Linked DNA regions of Canis lupus familiaris. The protein of the gene in region 3 purifies or fractionates together with the protein of the main gene of each other region. This does not show direct contact. Links are inferred from orthologs where the notes say so. Each region holds a gene or a part of one and is shown on either strand. Other genes may lie near its edges.

Region 1 (3,587 bases), on a different chromosome or scaffold from region 3:
CATGCTTTGAAATAATTTAAACAGTATTATAATTATAGGTCTCTTAAAAGGGTTAAAAGAATGGAATTTGAGTACTCTGTGATTAGCTCTCAAGGCATTAAAAAATTTTTTTTGATGTTGTCCACTTCGTTACATCTCTTCTGGATTCTTCAGTAATTTACAGTGTCCTAGAAAATTATTCATTTTATTCAGGCTTTCAAATTTACTAACAGAAATGTAAATTCTTCAAATTTCTTCTACATGTGTATGTCTGAACTTAATTGCCTTATTTTTTTATTAGGATAGTTGGTAGTTTATCTCATTGGACATGTCAAGAATTAGCACTTGGAGAATTTAAATTTTAAGAATTAAAGTTTTTTAAGAATAAAAAGTTAAAGAATTAAAAATTACTTTTAAATTCTACTGTAGTTTTCTAAGCCTTAATTTCTGTCCTTCTTATATAATTCCCTTCTTTCTGTTTGGCTAAGGTTTTTTGTTGTTGTACTTTTTCATTCTGAATTTGAATGCTTTATTCACTTATTTTCTGGAATAGGTTTTTTTTTTTTTGGAATAGGTTTTTAAAAAAAAATTTTTTTTTAAAGATTTTATGTATTTATTTGAGAAAGAGAGCATAAACAAGGGAAAAGGGGAGAGGGAGAGGGAGAAGTAGGCTCCTTGCTGAGCAGGGAGCCCCATGCAGGGCTCGATCCCAGAACCCCAGGATCATGACCTAAGCCAAAGGGAGATGTTTAACTGAATGAGCCACCCAGGCTCAGTGCCTTGGAATAGGCCTTGGAACAGGTATTTTGAAATGTAAAATTCTTTTGTGTGGCTTCTAGCTACCTACCTTTTCCAAGTTATAACTGTCTTCAGTTCGACTGTCTTCTGAGTTGTCTGTGTTCTTCTCATCATCCCCTTTATCTGCATTTGCAAATACAGAGGCCACTCGGACCACAGGCAAGGGCACATCCCGAGGGACAAACCTAACGGAGCTAATGGGCATGGTCCACAGTTTAATTTTCTTAAAAGATTTGGTTTTGGCAGAATACCGTGATTCACAGACAAAAACATCCTCATCTCGAAAGTTTTCTGGGCATAATTTAAAGTATTCCTGGGAGATATAAGAATAAGATTATTAGTTAGGTGCATTTTCTGAAAACCAGTTAACCAAAAAAACCAAAACCACACGTCAATCAAGCAAACGAACAAAAATAAACCGTTAAGACTTTCTGATAGTTAACAACAAATAGTAAATGGTTAGAGATGTACAAGCATTTCCCTGCTACAGAATGGCTTATTAAATACATATATCCTTTAGCTTACTAACTGCCCTTTTGAAAATATATTAGCATTTCATACAGCTTTATAATGTTCCTAAAAGCTTTGGATAGGGCTCAATGTGCCTGTATCAGATAGATACACAAAGTATACTTTGTTACCTAAAAAGCACACTGATAATTTTAAATGATCTTTCAGAAAATGTCATTCTCAAAAATTAGCCTGGCAATATAAAAAATTTTAAGCTAACCGCATATAGTTATATAGTGTAGGCAGCCAATGGTGGTCTTTCATCATCATGATCAGATTAATTTCTTCCCAAATCTTTACACACAGCTATATAGATACAGCTTAAAAAATTTTTTTGAAGATTTTTACAGAGCACCTAATTTGTAAATATTATTATTTTTTGTTTGAAAATGTTATTTTCATGGAATGATTTGTACTTTGGGGAATAATGAGTTTCTTACCTTGACAAACATGACCACACATTTTCCTAGAATTTTACTAACAGGAACTTTATTGTAATAGTCACTCTTAAAAACTTCTTTTTCTAGAAATTTTCGTGTAGCCAGATGGAATGTTTCATTTGGCCGATAAAACCAACAGCCATACAACCATTTTTCACCTCAAAAACAAAAAGGGGGAGAGAGGGAATTACCATTAATAGAAATCACACATTCTTTGCAAAATGAGCAAATTCTCCATCCATTCTGCCATGGCCTGAACATAATAACAATGTGCTTTTTAGGCCACAGTTTCTTAAAATATTTATCTTAAAGAAATGATACTTTAAAGTAATGAAGAATGATGAGGTCTAAAAAAAATACAACTTTCCCCCTCATATTAAAAGATGTATAATATACATGATGAATAAGGTGATGATACCTGCCCTACTCTGTTGTGGACAGGATACACACTCAGGGGAAGGAATACAAAGGTATTTCATGAGAAGCAGCTGAGGGAACTGGACTGCCTGAATCATATCTCTGCTCTGGCTTCATTAACTCCTATTTGTTCTCCATGTTCTAAATTAAAGGCAACTTTACTAGGACGCCTTTTTGAAATCAAATTCTAAGTCAAGGTCCATATCACACTATAATAATTTCCTTTTCATTTGTGATTTGTACCAGAGTGGTATTGCCAGAGGCAAAACATGAGTCCTTAGTTCCTGTGAGGCTCTGCCATCCTACAGTTTGGTTTACTGTGTGTTTTAAAGAAATACCCATTGAGTGAATGAATCTCAACCTCATTTCAGGAAGTTGTGCCTTTGACTCAACTGTGCCACTCACTGGCCCAAGAGTGCTAGATCCTATGTTTTTCATATAGAGGTTGCTAGGTTCTCTTTACCAATAATACACTGTAGAACAACTATTGTTGCAAGGAATAAAATGTCTGAGTTACAATTTTTTTCCCTGAGGACCGAGGAGGAGTAAAACAGTCACATGTCACCAGCGTGCCCTTTGATTGAAAACCAACTTACCAGCAGAATCTTCCCACAGCCTCTCAATGCAGACTATGTGTGGTTGCAGGCTGGCTTCTGCGGGCTCCACATACACGTAGTCTCCAACGTGGTACATGCTGTTCTTAAAGCTGCAGTCCTGGCTGTATGTGCGATGTAAGCCAGAGAGGCCTGTGGTGCCTGAGGAGTCTTCACTCTTTTCAGCTTCTTCGGTGAAAAAGACAAAAAGGCTCCCATTAAAGAGATATGGCAATCAGATGTAGGATTCAAACAACAGGGCAGCCCCGGTGGCTCAGCGGTTTAGTGCCGCCTTAAGTCCAGGGTGTGATCCTGGAGTTCCGGGATGGAGTCCCATGTCGGGCTCCCTGCATGGAGCCTGTTTCTCCCTCTGCCTCTCTCTCTCTGTCTCTCATGAATAAATAAATAAAATCTTAAAAAAAAAAAAAAGGATTCAAACAACACATACTAATATATTTCATTCTTTTCTAGACCTTCAAGGGCGAGATTCAGGACAAATAGCAGGATATCTGTATTCCCGAGAGCCTCTACTCAAAATTGCCTTTTTGAGTTACAACCAACCGCCCTCATTTAAATAAATACATAAATAAACAAAGGGTCTACACAATAAAAATAACCACGTTAATAATATATGCTCAATGCAGTCATTCCTGATGATAAACAAAGGTATAAAGAAGAAAACAGATTACCTGTAAAATCATGGAAATAATCTCATATATACTTCCTCTCCATCTTAAAGTCTCTAAATTTTTTTTTACCCTAACAGTTATTATATGGGTATGTCAAAATTAATGGAATCTTAGAATTAAGGAAATAGAGAACATGCGTATCATACAATATAATGTAAACT
Region 2 (3,587 bases), on a different chromosome or scaffold from region 3:
TCACAAGGACAAGGTTGTAGAGACTAGAGAATATGATGGAAAAGCACTTAGTGCAGTGCCTATCATATTTTTAGCTCTTGTTATTTTTGTGTATAGTTTTATCTTCCCTGTTGGTAGGGACCCGGTCTGCTTCACCCATGTAATCCCAGGCACCAAAAAACATCTGTGACAAAAGAAGATGAATGAGAGAGAGTCTCCACTTAGAAGGAAAGGAATAGGAAAAACTGGATGCTAATTGTGAAGCCAGTCAGTATCCAGTGCTAATTAGAGATTGAGCAGGAACAGAACCCCAGGGGCCTGCCACCTGGCCCAAAGCTTTTGCATCCATTCTGATTACTGACTGGGTGACCTCTCATGAAGAGGAGGCTGGTTTCCATCAAAGCTCCCTTAGCCACAGCATTCATCTTGTACCTTCCGTGCTCGACTGTTGGTCACAGGAAACTCGCCCAGGCTGTCATCATCCACTCGGGGATCTGGGGCACCTCGCTTCTCCAGGGGGTCGGTGCGCAATAGAGCTTCTAAACTACTGCCGTCTTGAGAGATCAGCCCCTCTTTCTTCAGGGTCTGGTCTGTGTCTGTAGGCAAGATCAGGATGAGGCGAGACTCAGAAGGGCTGAAAGCAGACCGCTTTGGGTCTACACAGTGCTAGGCCAGCCATGGGCCAGTAACTGTCTTTTGGTCTCTGATTGCCCAGGAACGAAGACACCCCAATACACTCAATACACTCGGCATTGCAACTTACCTGTTTACCTGTCTCCTCTATTAGACTGAGTTCTTTTTTTTTTTTTAGACTGAGTTCTTTAAAGGAAGGAATGACATCTCATTCATTTTAGCATATTCGGCATCTAGCATTGGGCCTGGTACAGAACAGGTGAATAACAGGCCTTTTACATGCAGCAGGTCCTACCCCTGCTCAAGGAGGGGCGTGCTTTACCTGGTTTAATAGACGGGAAAGAAAGTCTTGGATCCTCAGGAGGGTGGGCTCGCCGCTTTTTCCGCCAGCGCCGAGCAGGGTAGGAGTATAGCTGCCCAGAGGCCAATCCTGTGGAAATACAGAAAAGAGAGAAAAGTCAAGCTCTAATCGAGTCCTAGGTAATAATATCAAACACTTTCTAGGGGAGTAGCACTCTCTCCCCATCCCCTCCTGCCCACCATGTTCTAGAGTGAGGGAGGAATATGGTCAGTGAAGGCCTGAGGGTAGGAGGGACAGTTTATGGAAAAGAAAAACAGATGTAAGCTCAGGGGCCTTGGTTAACACATAGCTCCCCAGAAGCCCAACGACAGCTTTAGTAGGGTAGCCCTGCAGAAAACAAAGATGCTGTTATGAACCTGTCTGCTTCATCCTCCCTGGGATTGTAATCAAGGCAAGACCGTATTCACTCATGGGTGGAATGCAGTAAGGAAAACCGTCTCAGCTGACTAATCACTTAAGATAAAGAAGCTTCTTCCTTCCTTGTGCTCCTGAGCCTGAACCCTCACCTGGACCCCGGTGCCGCTTTTCCATCCAGATATAACAGTTGCTCTGGGCTACTCCAGTCTGTGAGTCCAAGAAAGGAAGGCGCACACTGCGCTCAGCACAGAGGCGGGCATTATAATTGTGGCACTGCTCCATGGCATCTTTGTAGTACTGCTCCCCAAGGCTGCAGGAGAGACAAACATCAGGTGTGTGTATGTTGGGGCAGGGTGGAGCACAGGGTGCTGAGCTACCCCTTTCCCTTGCCATCTGCTTCTTTGGAAGGCTCAAGGGACCGGGAGACTGTGGCTTTGGTCCTATTTGCCTCCATTTCTGCCTCATGGGACACTGTGCTCCTTTACTAAGTCATTATGAGGAAAGGAACTTTATAAATAAATTACCTTCAGGAACATGATCTCTCATGTGTCTACTCAAACTTAAGCCTAACCCACAAAGAGGGAGAGAGAAACTAATGTTCATTCTGTGCCTCTTGAGTCCAGCCCTGTGCTAGTCAAGATGCTGTTTCTCTGAACCCTCATGACTCTAAGAAGCAGAGGTTAGTTTTATCACAAATGAGTAAGAGTTCAAGTTCTGGGGGTGGGGATGGTGGGGCTTTCTAAATATATTTAACAAACTATAGCACATCTTTACACAATGAAATTGTTTAGCCATTAAAAAAAGAAGGAAGCTCTTCATGTGCAGACATAAAACAATTTCCAAGGTGACTAGGGGAAAAAAAGGAAGGTACAAGGCTGAGAAGTGTATTAGGATGCTACCATTTATGTAACGAGAGGCGAAAAGAAACTGTAGGCCTCTAGAAAGGAAGACGGGGCGACTGGGGGGAATTTTTCCTATATGCTATTTTATGTCTTTTGAATTTTAAACTAGGTACAGGTTTCTCCTACTACCTGACATATTTACTTATCTGACATATTTACTTTATGTCACTTCGCTTTTACAAAAGACCTACATTAGTATCTGTTTTCACTAACCAAAAGATCCAGAGAGGATTTTCACTTTTATTTTTTTAAAAGGTTTTTATTTATTTATTCATGAGAAACAGAGGGAGAGAGAGGCAGAGACAGGCAGAGGGAGAAGCAGGCTCCACGCAGGGAGCCTGATGCGGGACTTGATCCCGGGTCTCCAGGATCACGCCCTGGGGTGAAGGTGGTGCTAAACCCCTGAGCCACTGAGGCTGCCCGATTGTCACTTTTAAGAAGTGGTAATTGCTTCTTTGCTTTATGCCATGTTGGCTTATAAACAGTTTCATATGAACACTCTACTTGTTTGGAAGTGGGGGGAAACTTGTATTTAGCCAACTAATTAATTCTATATGCTAAATTTAAAAAAATTTTTTCTATATGCTAATTTTAAAGTCAATGGAAAACATCTGAAAATACCTGAACTTCCTTGAAGCCTACTTTTTCACTGAGTACTATCAGAGTGATGTAAACCCTGTTTGCTCAGAGAGGCCCATCCTAGGCCCTTTTCCATTCTCACACTATCAAATTATTTTTTTTTTTAAGATTTTTATTTATTTATTTGACACACCCACACACACCCACAAGAGAACACAAGCAGGGCGAGTGGCAGGGAGCAGGGAGCCCGACTCAGGGCTCCAACCCAGGACCCTGGGATCATGATCTGGGCTAAAGGCAGATGCTTAACCAACTGAGCCACCCAAGCGCCCCTCACACCATCAAATTATATAGGAAAGAACCTTCTTATACTCAAAAGACTCAGTTTGAAATCTAAATCAAGGGCAAACCTTTAAGTGCTTCAAAAAGCTGGAAAACTACACAGTGCCAGGAGTTAACCTGGTTCTACGAAGCATGTATATAGAAGCAATCTCATCTTCCAAGGTTTTTTTTTTTTTTTTTTAATTTATGATAGGCACACAGTAAGAGAGAGAGGCAGAGACATAGGCAGAGGAGAAGCAGACTCCATGCACCGGGAGGCTGACGTGGGATTCGATCCCGGGTCTCCAGGATCGCGCCCTGGGCCAAAGGCAGGCGCCAAACGCTGCGCCACCCAGGGATCCCTCATCCTCAGGGTTTAACAAGCATGTTAATATTGGAACTTTAACTACAGTGATTCGTATTTACATATACAATCAATCTTAAATAAACTGAGG
Region 3 (3,354 bases):
TGTTTCTATGCAATGATCAGTCATTGCTCTGATGGTCAGGAAAATACCCATATTATTAAGAGAAATGTCTACAAAAGGGCAGTTACCTCCACAGGCTCCCCAGGTGCAGCATGCAGGCTCTGGAGTGAAAGAGGGAGGAGTCAGCAGCCATGATGTTTGGAACATGTTGTGCCCACTGGAGGGCGCCAGATGCACATGGCACAAAGCATGCAGCATCCCTAAGATGTCCTCTGGGGCAGGCGGCAGGTAGTGGGTGTGCAGGAAAGGGCTGGAGGCCCTAGGGCCAGCCACTTAACATGACCTCACTAAAAATTTAAGAGGCTTCCCAAGCCCTCCCAGCTCCTTGCAACCCTGACAGACCGCCTGGCCACAAAAACTACCCAGTTCCAGGTATTTTTAGTAATTGGTCCATCTGGTTCCACATCTCACGTGTCTGAAAACAGCTTCTGTCATCTTGCTTTTCCCTTAGATGCTTCTGACGAGCAGAATTCACAGTCTTCAATGGAAAACTCGATGAACAGTTCAGAGAAAGTAGAACGGCAGCCATCTGGAGACGCGGGTCTAGCTGCAGAGATGTCCGCAATCTCTCAGGTACCTCGATCGAGGCCTCAGAGGGGCAGCCAGATCAGCCAGGAGCCCGTTGGGGTGTTGGGGGTACGTTGAAAGGTGTTTTGTTATTTTGTTTTGTTGTTTTTTCCCTGTATCCATGGAGCAGGATTCGTGAGTATCCTGTGTCCGTCCTGGGCATTAGAGCTACAGCAAAGGCCAGGACACAGGGCCCAGCCCTCAGGGAGGAGGATATAGGAAGAGGAGGCATCCTCTTTCCCAGCCTCAGCTTTATCACTTTGTTTACCCAGGTCCACAAAAGCATTGCCTGCTCTAGTGACTTAAAGTCAACTTCCTTTATTGCTGGGACAATAAGTCTTCAGAATCCTAAATGCAAGATGAATCATGTTTTGGAATTTTGCAACTGACTGCACTGCCCCCTTGCTTCGACCCCGTTCTGGGTCATCACTGTTTGTCAGCATCTGGTCTGAATCAGACAGTGCAGGAACAGGTGGCTACTGGCTAGGAACAAACACCCTGGATTCGAATCCCAGCTCCTTAACTTAGCATAACCGAGCCTCCTTGTCTGCAACTGCCAAAATGGGATCATAGAAACTGTCTTGGGGCCAGAGCACAGATGGGATGAGAGAATACAGCTAACACACTTGGTGTGGAGCTGGACACGGGAATGCCCCAGATGCCATCATTGTGATTTTTCACTATCAACCCTCTGGGCTCACCTAAAATGAGTAGTTTGGGGACCCCGAGGTGTCAAAACTTCAACTAATAAAACGATCTTCTAGTACCTCAGGAGAAACTGACAAAAAGTAGCAGCAGAAAGGTTGGAAGAGGCAGAGGGTGGCAGGATGTGGTCTGCACTTTGCAGAGCCGTAAGCCAGGCCTCCCCCAAGGGGAAGTGCCTCCTGGACTCTAATGTCTCTATCCCCTTACCTGCAGGACACTCCTCCAAATGACCAAAGACACAGGAGTGTTGATGGAAGATATGTTTGCAGTGGCAGGAAATTGGCCACAACCTAAGTTTGTCGAAAGGGGACTGGTTAAATAATCTGTGGTCGTGGATGAAACAGATGGGTGTGCAGCTGTTAAAAAGGGTGTGGTTGACCCAGGTACAGACAGTAAAGAATTATCCTCACAATGTGAAATGAGGAAAGCAAGACCTAGAACCTCAGGCATAGCATGAGCCCACTTGATTAAAAATCAAAGCCTTGGGATCCCTGGGTGGCGCAGCGGTTTAGTGCCTGCCTTTGGCCCAGGGCATGATCCTGGAGACCGGGGATCAAATCCCACGTCGGGCTCCTGGTACATGGAGCCTGCTTCTCCCTCTGCCTGTGTCTCGGCCTCTCTCTCTCTCACTGTGTGCCTATCATAAATAAATAAAAATTAAAAAAAAAAAAAAAAGGATCTCAATCCCTAAAAAAAAAAAAAAAATCAAAGCCTTGTGTATAGTTTGTAAAAACCAGGGTGTCTGCTGGGATCTCCTGGCCTTCCAAACTCAGTTTTGTTTTGTTTTGTTTTGTTTTGTTTTTTCAACTTAGCTTGAAACTTTGATCCATACCCTGGCGGCATCTAGTGTTACCCCCCGCCCTGCCCCACCCCTCAGATATCTGAAAGGTACAGGGCTCTTACATTCTAACATGCCCCCAACCTCCAGTCCCATTTCCAGGGGACCCAGACCTGAAATGGAGCCTCTTCCACTGTTCTCATGTATACACAGACACAAATATTCGTCCACAGAGCTCCCAGGTCTATGAGCAAAGTGGAGGAGGATGCATTTTAGTTAAGCAACTCGACATTGACATTTGGCCATTCCTGTGTTTAAAAAAAAAAAAAGCTTCCCCAACCTCCCAACAGGAGGAATACTCTGGCTGTTCTCTGTATTCAACTGTCCTGAGCTTGTAGCTCCTCTCTTTTGTTCCCCTTTCTGTTTCTCCGTCCTCTTCTGTACCTTCTGGTACGCAGAGCAGTTCACCTCTCTGCAGGCTCCACTCCCAAGCTCACATGCTGTCCTCCCATCCAAGTGCTCTACAGAACCAAAGGCCTCCTCTCCATTGGGACCCAGCATCCTCTGAAGAAGGCACAGTACCTGCTTTGTCCTGTCATGACCACATTGAGCTTTCATCACTTTCAGAATGAGAAGAAGGGAGAACACAGAGGCGGCTCTTACAGCCTCTCTATGATGCCTCAGGGTCTGCCACAAGAAGCTCATACGCAGCCCACATCAAGGCACTGGGGTCTCTATATTAAACATACACTGGGTACCCATAGTGGACCAGGCCCTGTGTTAGATACTAGGGACCCAGGATGAGCCAGAGATGGGGTCCCTCCCTGCCCTCATGGGGCTCATGATGTGGTGGGTGAGGAAGAGACACAGCCAGGATATAGCAGGGACAAGCAGATGACAAGGTCATAGCACGTGCTCCAGAAAAACCAAGATGAGGATGAAAGGAGGCCTGACAGTGGAACATTGTTTGGGCTGGTGTAGGCAGAGAAATGGGCTGTGAGCAGGAATTTGAAGGATGAGAATACAGGGCCATGAGAGCAGGCTTTCTGGACAGAGGGAACCAGAGGTTTGGGCCTGGAAATAGGAACAAGCCTGAGAACAAAAAGGAAGGCCAGGGGTCTGGGTCTAGAAGGCAAGGAAGAGAACAACCAGTTGGGTGCCGGGTCTTCTCAGCCTGGTAAGGAGCTGGCATTTTGCTCTGAAGTCAGTGGGAAAGCATCAGTGGGTTTTATGTTCTGTGTTTGTTTCTATTTGGGGATTTCTTGAACTATGTTGAAAGCTGCCTA
Region 4 (3,587 bases), on a different chromosome or scaffold from region 3:
TGGAATGTTTTTGCTTAAATGAGAACCATCTCCCTTATCAAAATCACAGATTCCATTAACTAGAGGTTTTTTCAAATCACTTTTGATATCCGGCATGTCCATTTGTTCCAAGTTCTGTTTTCCAGATGTTCCATTCTCACCTAATTCTAACGATGGCCCATTACTGATTAGTGAGCACTGATTAGCCTCACTTTGAATTTTCCCTGAGTTTGAAGGAGGTAGACTTGAGTCACTGTACTTTCTCCCATTTAAAAGACTTCCCACCTGCATTTCATTTTCCTTTGTATCCCCATTGCTGGTGTTCGTGGTTCCTCGCCGGCAGGACGGGTTCTCCATTACTTCAATTTTACGTTCGTGAACATGTAAACCTGTTGCTTCTTTTGCTTCCTCCTCCTTTTGGCAAATTATCTTATCACCTTTGAATGGGGGAGTAGCAGTAGTACAGGATGATTGTCCAGCTGGAGATGTCTGAGTGGCTGGAAGCGTTTGCACCTGAAGTCCAACTCCTGCCTGTGTCCCACTCATGGTAATTCCTGCTGGAGCAATGAGCTGAGTTGCATTTCCCTGACTCACAGTTGCAGTTGCAAAACTTGTATTTGGCACAACTGTTATGGTTACCTGGTTGCCAGAAGTCCCTTGGAAAATGGTTGCTGGGCTGTTTGAAATCAGTGGGCCTGGTAATATTTGTAAGTTCGAGATAGGTACAGTTTGCACTCCGCCTGTGGGTGGCATTGCACTTTGTACCAACTGAACATTTTGCTGCCCAACCAACAGCTGCTGAGCTGAAGACTGCCCCTGCACTCCAAAACCTGCTGCTTGGTTATTGGCCACCTGGTATACCACCTGAGGGCTGGGAGCTCTCGCGTTATTAGGGGGAGGAATCTGTGGAGCTGGGAGAATTAGCTTACCACCCGGTGTCGAAGGGCCACGCTTTGGAAGCAGCAACTGTTTTATCAGACTTGACTCACCAGAAGCAGGCTGACCAACGCCTGCATTCGCTTGCTGTGGCTGAACTTGCATCTGTACTTGTTGGGGCTGCTGAACCTGTACTTGTACCTGTTGCGGTGAGGGTGCTGGTGAATGCTGCTGCTGTTGCTGCCTTTTCACAGATAGCATCTGACTGACGGTAGGAGGTGGTCCCTGTGATTGAGGGGTGGAAGATGATGACATGGCAGTAGGAACTTGGTTATTAGTAGCTGGGACAGGTGATGGTGAGGAAGATGGAGTTATGTTTGGTTGCCCAGTTAACTGAACTGTCTGACCAGCTGGAAGAGCTGCTGGATTAGCAAGAACAATTTGGTGAATGGCTGGTGCATAAGTCTGACCTTGTTGAGCTGGCTGGCTTACAATCACTACACTCTGTTGGGTTGGCTGCTGTGGTTGTTGAATGGGCTGTTGTACCACTGTTGATGAAACTTGCTGAGAAGGGAGAGGTTTTGGTGCAATGTTCTGAAACCCTACCCTTGAGGGTTGTGGACTTGGGACACCAGCAATGGTAACCATTTGTCCCGTAGCTACCTGAAAATTCTGTACTGAAGTTGCTGAGACAATATTGGATGCAGAAGTTGTTACATACTGTGAAGGTGCTATGATAACAGTGTCTTGCGGCTGGCTACCAGCTGACGTCTGTTGAGATGAAGTTTGCACAGGTTGGGGTGATGTGGTGATTAACTGTTGACCCTGTGATACTGAAGAAGTACATGCTGGTATGTTCTGTACTCTGCCAAATATATGACTCTGTGGGACAGCTTGTTGAATTACTGTAACAGGAGTGCCGGAAGGTATCTGTCCTGGTACCACTGTGTGTAATGGAGACTGTTGTGGAATTACAGATGGATGATGAAGCAATGTCTGGGAATTTACAACCGTAACAGGTTGTGGCCCTGTACTGTGATTCTGAACCACAGAACTCTGAGCAGCTCCACCTCCCACAGCAATGCTAACAGGAACTGCTGTCTGGGATATAGAATTCTGGATTACTGTAGCCTTAACAACTTCACAAGGAATTGGAGCTTTATTTTGAATGACAGTCACTGGAGCATTTTGCTGCTGGTGGGTATGAACTGCAGGATTTGGTGGAATTCTGGAAACAGTCTGTGCCACAGTATGAACACCTTGTACTGGAAAAGACATTTGTGTTGCAGTCAAATTTGAAGACTGGTTGGTAACAGAAGTCCTCTGAAAATGGTTTCCTACAGTTTGTGGTCCATGAGGGATTCCTGAAAATATGAGGGAAAGGTCAAAATTCATAAGGAAAGGACTGAAAAGCTGAATGTAGGCATTGCTTTACTTAATACAAAAGAAAAATCCTTTTAAGAAATTAACATTTAACACCTCTGCATCATATGAATATGATAAAAGTAACAGAATAAGCAAAATGCAACTGGAAAAACAAGGAAAAATTATTCATTTTAAATTTATATAATATACTGTTTCATTTTGTTTGTTAAGTTAGTAATACTTAAAAACTCAAAAATTAATACCTGCAGGTGAAGGACTTGGAGATACATCAGGAACAGAATCAACACGAACAACAGGAGTAGAAACTGGTTGCTGCTGATAGTACATCTGAATGGGAAGTGGTATAGCCCTCCTTTTTACTCCTACTACATGAATATGTGCCTGCCCGTTGCTACTGGAATCCTCCACTCTCTTCACTGTATGATTTGGAAAGACCGTTCTGTAAAGTACACACATAACTTAGTTTTATAAACTAGCAAACGAGCAAAAAACATTTCAAACAATGTTTACATGAACAGTAGCAGGATAGTTACTGCTACTAATACGAACCAGTATGATTCATATAGATCTATTCTGTAAGGGTGGGAAGCAAAGAAAAAATATAAAAGATCAATTTCCCAATTTTTAAAATCATTATTAACATTGTTGGGTTTTAAATAATTCTATACCATATCTAATGAACAAAGAAGCTGCATCTAGGCAATGTCTATTTTATGAACTTTTGCAAAATATCAAAAGCCTTGATATTTGAAGATAAGAGTATTAGTTGTAGACTATTATTCAAGATAAAAAGGGCAAAAGTCATGTCTCTAACATATTTCAGTGGGTAGAAAGAAGTTTTTCCCTTCTCTTTCTTTGATAAGCCTCATAATGTTTAAACACAAACATGAGGTTTGATTTCCAAAAATCTCCTTGTATTTAAATTTCCATCTTATTACAACATAGCCTATATGAAATTTCAAGTAGTAGAAATATTTAAAAGTAGATAGATAGTTGGTATTTTCCCCAAAGAGCAAGAGATATTCTAGGTGATTCAAATTAACTTTGTTTAAAGTTAATAACTAAACATCCTACCTAAGACATTTATAAAATCCAGTTGAAGTTAGGATTCCACCACGAGCTAATTTACTGCACGTTGAGAGGTACTCAGAATACATCTCTGCTCGAGAGACAGAACAGTCTGGATTTACTTCAAAATGAGCATTTAGCCTAAAAAGGAGAAAAATAAATGGCATTACGCAATATATTACAGTAGAGTTCATATTTAAATATAGTAAAACTACTTGAAGGCAATGTATCATAAGGTAATATTTATGCCTGTCAATCAAATTTGACTATCTCATGTT
Region 5 (3,587 bases), on a different chromosome or scaffold from region 3:
CAGCTCCCAGGAGGCAATGCTGCCATCGGAATCTTCAGCATCAGGCTTCGCAGGGTTAAAAGTATTGGAGATATAAAGACGCAGCTTCCGCTTTTGCTGTAGAAATAAAGAATATAGTACAAGAGCAAACACTGTGTGCTCCCATTCCCGGGGCAGTCCCACTTTTCCATTCCTGGAACAGGACCTAGAGACCTCTTCATGCCCCCAAATCAAGACACCTTCATTGGCCTCTTCAGAGCCTCCTGGATGTCCACCCGCTTCCGCATGATGGTTTGATCCAGTTTCCTCTCAAACGCCAGCAGGTCCATATAAGCCTGGGACTCGGGGACCAGCTCCCGGATCTGGAAGAGAAGGAGCAAGGCAGGGAACCTGGGGCTCAGCCAATCTTGTGGGTGGAATGTGCGCCTCATGCAGTCCCAGGGTACAAAAAGCATAGCGGGGAACTGGCCAGGTTCGGGGCATGGAACTCGGAGAGTGCAAATGGGGACTTCTCCCCAGGACTGCATATCCAGCAGAAAGGACCTCCACATGTGGGGATAAAAGCTACTTCTTCCTCTAGGGGTTTCTGTGCGTATTATCGCCACGGGAGGCCCTGGCAGCCACGGAGCCCAGGAACTGGGCTTCACCTCCTCATCTTGTCCTTTCCCTTGTCATACGGCCTCTGAACCTCCCTTGGGTGTCTGCAAAGTGGCTAGGACCCTGGAGTGCCTGAGACCGAGGATGTCGCTGCTTGCCTCTACCCTGGCATCCTACTTTGTCACTCCACCTACCTTCTCAGCTGCAGTACCCCCCACCCCAACATCTAGCTCAGCCTGGCTTCACTTATGACATCCAGGCCTTCTGGCCGGCTTCAGTTCCCCTGCCAGTCTTGGGTCCCCTGGAGCTCAGTCCACTGCACCCGGGCGCAAGACCCTACCTCTTATGGCTCCTTCGCTCCTTCCCTCTGCCCTACTCCCTCCCTCTGGCCAGGGAGCCCCACTTCTTAATTAGCTTTTTAAACAAAAAGTGAAAGTGGCTGTGACACTGAAGCTCTGCTACTGAGGGGGGAGGGGAAGCGGCCCAGGGTGGTGGGGTAGAGGGGGAGGAGGCAGAGCAGCAAAGGGTGGGGGGTGGGCTGGGGGCTGCTGTGAAAGGCACTCACCCTTTGAGGGAGGATTTTGTCAGCCATCTTCCTCCTCTTGGCACTGTACATTTTTTAAAGAAAAAACCAGGTTACCATGGCGACAGATCTGGGAGTAACGAGGCCACCTGCTAAATTATCCCGACATCTCCACCCGCCTGGCTGGGGTTCCCACAGCCCGCTTGTCTGCCCGCCCAAGGGGCAACGGCAGTGGTGTCTGGCATGGCGCTATGTCCTCTTGTGGGGAGCAGATGTGGCCCCATCCTTTATTTAGTCTGGGAGCCCCTTTCTACCCCACCACACCCTCAGGCCAGAGAAATTTAGACTTAGAAGGGGTGAGGGGGGTGGGGGAGCTGCAAAAGTGTTTGAGAAAAGCTAGGGAGAGGGAGGACAGAGGGGAGGGAGGAGGGATTCTGAGGACTTTCCCTTTCTGTTAAGCAGGGGTGTACAGCCTGAGGTGGCCTGAGCTCAGCGGGAAGCAGAGCCAACAACCTCTCCCATCCCTGGAGCAGGAGGTGATGGGTGAAGCTGGTGAGGACTTGCACCCCTGGCAACCCGGGGTTGGAAGAGGATGCTGACAGGCTATGGGATCACCTGCCAACAGGGTCCAGAAACACACCCGTAGGGATCCAGAGAGAGGGATGTCCTGCAGGGTGTGACTGCAGACTGGACTTGAGGTGGCAGCTGGGACTTGAACTCTTCTTGATCTGCTAGCTGCTTCTGATTCCCAAAAGCACCCCAGAAAATCCTTGGCCAGTTGAGATTAGCACCCAGCCTGGGGCATGGCTCTGTACCATCCCTGTGTGGTGGTAACCACTGCCCCCTCCTGTCCAAAAGCCTATTCTAAGGCTAGGTAAGCATCTTTCCTGAAAGGTCTGATTTGTTTTGAAGAAATTATCTGTGTGAAACTCTCCATCTATACAAGACAAATCAGGAACATGTTTACTGTATAAAAAGATGATTCACTTTGCAAAAGAATTCATCATGGGATTCCTATAAATGGTGAATTTTCCTTGATGTGTAAAAAATATTTAATAATGAGGTAAAATCCATATTACTCCTTTTATAGGACTCCATCTGGTGTGCAAAGGGAAGCATGTGTGTTTGGTTAAATAGTGAAACCCAGAGGGGCATCTCTCTTGCCAGACACCAGCAGGGGCTTTTGGGGTGCCACCAGCTGGCTCAGACAGGGAAATGGGCTGGCCCCTGGTGGCTCCTGGGGGCAGACCTGGTCCAGAAGACAGATTAGGGCAGCTCTTTAACCTCTAAGTGCCTAAGAACTACCTGAGAGCAGGACCGTTATGGAGACCACCCACCCACAGGGCACATCCCCAGACTCCACCCCCCTGGCCAGAGAGTCAGATTTAGACTATCTCGAGTGGGGCTTTTAAAACAGTCAAGCCAGGGGACTGGGGACGGTGCACTGGACAGCCACACTTTGAGAAACACAATCCCTGAAGCTCAGCCCTCGGCCCTCCTGCCAGCCCCACCCCCACCCCCACCCCAAAGACGGAAGCATCTCCCAGAACCTGGGGACGAGGGGTGGAGAGAAGGAGCGAGCAGGTGACAAGGAGAAGGGCGCGACGGCCGCAGCCTCAGTCTCTACGGTGGGCACACAAAGGAACCGGACCAGTGCCCCCTCGGCCCACCTCCCCAGAGGGCATCCCACCCAGGACGGCTCGTTCCCGGCCGATCCTCCCTCCCTGCTCCTTCTAGGCTCGCTGCTCAGCCACCCCGTCCCTGGGGTCGCGTGGCCCGCCCCCTCCGCGCTGGGCCCCACTCACCTGCGGCTCCGCGCGGGGGCGGTGGGCACCGGCTGGCCCTGGCTCTGGGCCTGGCTCTGGCCGGGCGGGGGCGCTGCTCGCTTGCGGGCGGGCTCCATGCCCGCGGGGGCCAGGCCGGGTCGCACGGCGGGGCTGCCCATGTACGGGGAGCCCGGGGGGCCCATGGGCGCCCCCTGGTGGGGCATCCGGGCTCCAGACGGCATCCCGGGGCGCTGGGGGGCGGGGAGGGGGGGCGAGGGGCGGAGGTGAGGCAGAAACAGGCGCCCGCCGGTCAGCTCAGGGCCCCGGTTCCGGGCGCGCAGAGCCGCGTGTCTCCCACCCCGCGCCCCCCCCCGCCCCCCCGGCCGGTGACCCTGATGCCGCCCGCGTGAGCGAGGGGTGGGAGGGGCAGGGGCGCCGCCACCGCGCGGCTGGGCGGAGGGGGCTCTGCGTCTCGCCGCAGGAAGCTAACTGAAGCCAGGCAACTGCACTGGGCACTGCCAGCCTCGGATTTGCGGAAGGTACCGCGAAAATGAATATTAATGGCGCCTTTCAACCTTTTCAAAGGATGTTCACAACCACATTCTCCTCTGCAAGACGGACCGGACGGAGGGGGTCCTTCCAACCCCACTTGACAGATGAGGGAACCGCAGCTCAAGGAGAAAAGCGACCTAGCCAAGGTCACCCCGCTCCTCCTGGCCAAG

The links. The genes of interacting proteins can lie anywhere in the genome.
Region 1: the proteins of BCL7A (region 3) and PBRM1 purify together in Homo sapiens (affinity purification with mass spectrometry; 3 studies listed by BioGRID and IntAct, counting the BioPlex papers as one, with this or other methods). This does not show direct contact. The link is inferred for Canis lupus familiaris from reciprocal best matches to the Homo sapiens genes BCL7A and PBRM1.
Region 2: the proteins of BCL7A (region 3) and DPF2 purify together in Homo sapiens (affinity purification with mass spectrometry; 3 studies listed by BioGRID and IntAct, counting the BioPlex papers as one, with this or other methods). This does not show direct contact. The link is inferred for Canis lupus familiaris from reciprocal best matches to the Homo sapiens genes BCL7A and DPF2.
Region 4: the proteins of BCL7A (region 3) and ARID2 purify together in Homo sapiens (affinity purification with mass spectrometry; 3 studies listed by BioGRID and IntAct, counting the BioPlex papers as one, with this or other methods). This does not show direct contact. The link is inferred for Canis lupus familiaris from reciprocal best matches to the Homo sapiens genes BCL7A and ARID2.
Region 5: the proteins of BCL7A (region 3) and SMARCD3 purify together in Homo sapiens (affinity purification with mass spectrometry; 4 studies listed by BioGRID and IntAct, counting the BioPlex papers as one, with this or other methods). This does not show direct contact. The link is inferred for Canis lupus familiaris from reciprocal best matches to the Homo sapiens genes BCL7A and SMARCD3.

Annotation. Positions count from the first base shown.
Region 1 is NC_049241.1:37,590,987-37,594,573, reverse strand, and holds part of PBRM1 (protein polybromo-1), read right to left. Parts: intron 2,927-3,587; coding exon 2,741-2,926; intron 1,886-2,740; coding exon 1,728-1,885; intron 1,091-1,727; coding exon 827-1,090; intron 1-826. UniProt on the Homo sapiens protein: Involved in transcriptional activation and repression of select genes by chromatin remodeling (alteration of DNA-nucleosome topology). Required for the stability of the SWI/SNF chromatin remodeling complex SWI/SNF-B (PBAF).
Region 2 is NC_049239.1:52,345,456-52,349,042, forward strand, and holds part of DPF2 (zinc finger protein ubi-d4), read right to left. Parts: intron 1,641-3,587; coding exon 1,480-1,640; intron 1,043-1,479; coding exon 935-1,042; intron 576-934; coding exon 412-575; intron 1-411. UniProt on the Homo sapiens protein: Plays an active role in transcriptional regulation by binding modified histones H3 and H4. Is a negative regulator of myeloid differentiation of hematopoietic progenitor cells. Might also have a role in the development and maturation of lymphoid cells.
Region 3 is NC_049247.1:7,498,537-7,501,890, reverse strand, and holds part of BCL7A (B-cell CLL/lymphoma 7 protein family member A), read left to right. Parts: intron 1-469; coding exon 470-654; intron 655-3,354.
Region 4 is NC_049248.1:38,086,911-38,090,497, reverse strand, and holds part of ARID2 (AT-rich interactive domain-containing protein 2), read right to left. Parts: intron 3,451-3,587; coding exon 3,316-3,450; intron 2,681-3,315; coding exon 2,484-2,680; intron 2,220-2,483; coding exon 1-2,219. UniProt on the Homo sapiens protein: Involved in transcriptional activation and repression of select genes by chromatin remodeling (alteration of DNA-nucleosome topology). Required for the stability of the SWI/SNF chromatin remodeling complex SWI/SNF-B (PBAF).
Region 5 is NC_049237.1:16,009,395-16,012,981, forward strand, and holds part of SMARCD3 (SWI/SNF-related matrix-associated actin-dependent regulator of chromatin subfamily D member 3), read right to left. Parts: intron 3,117-3,587; coding exon 2,905-3,116; intron 1,185-2,904; coding exon 1,142-1,184; intron 342-1,141; coding exon 219-341; intron 97-218; coding exon 1-96. UniProt on the Homo sapiens protein: Involved in transcriptional activation and repression of select genes by chromatin remodeling (alteration of DNA-nucleosome topology).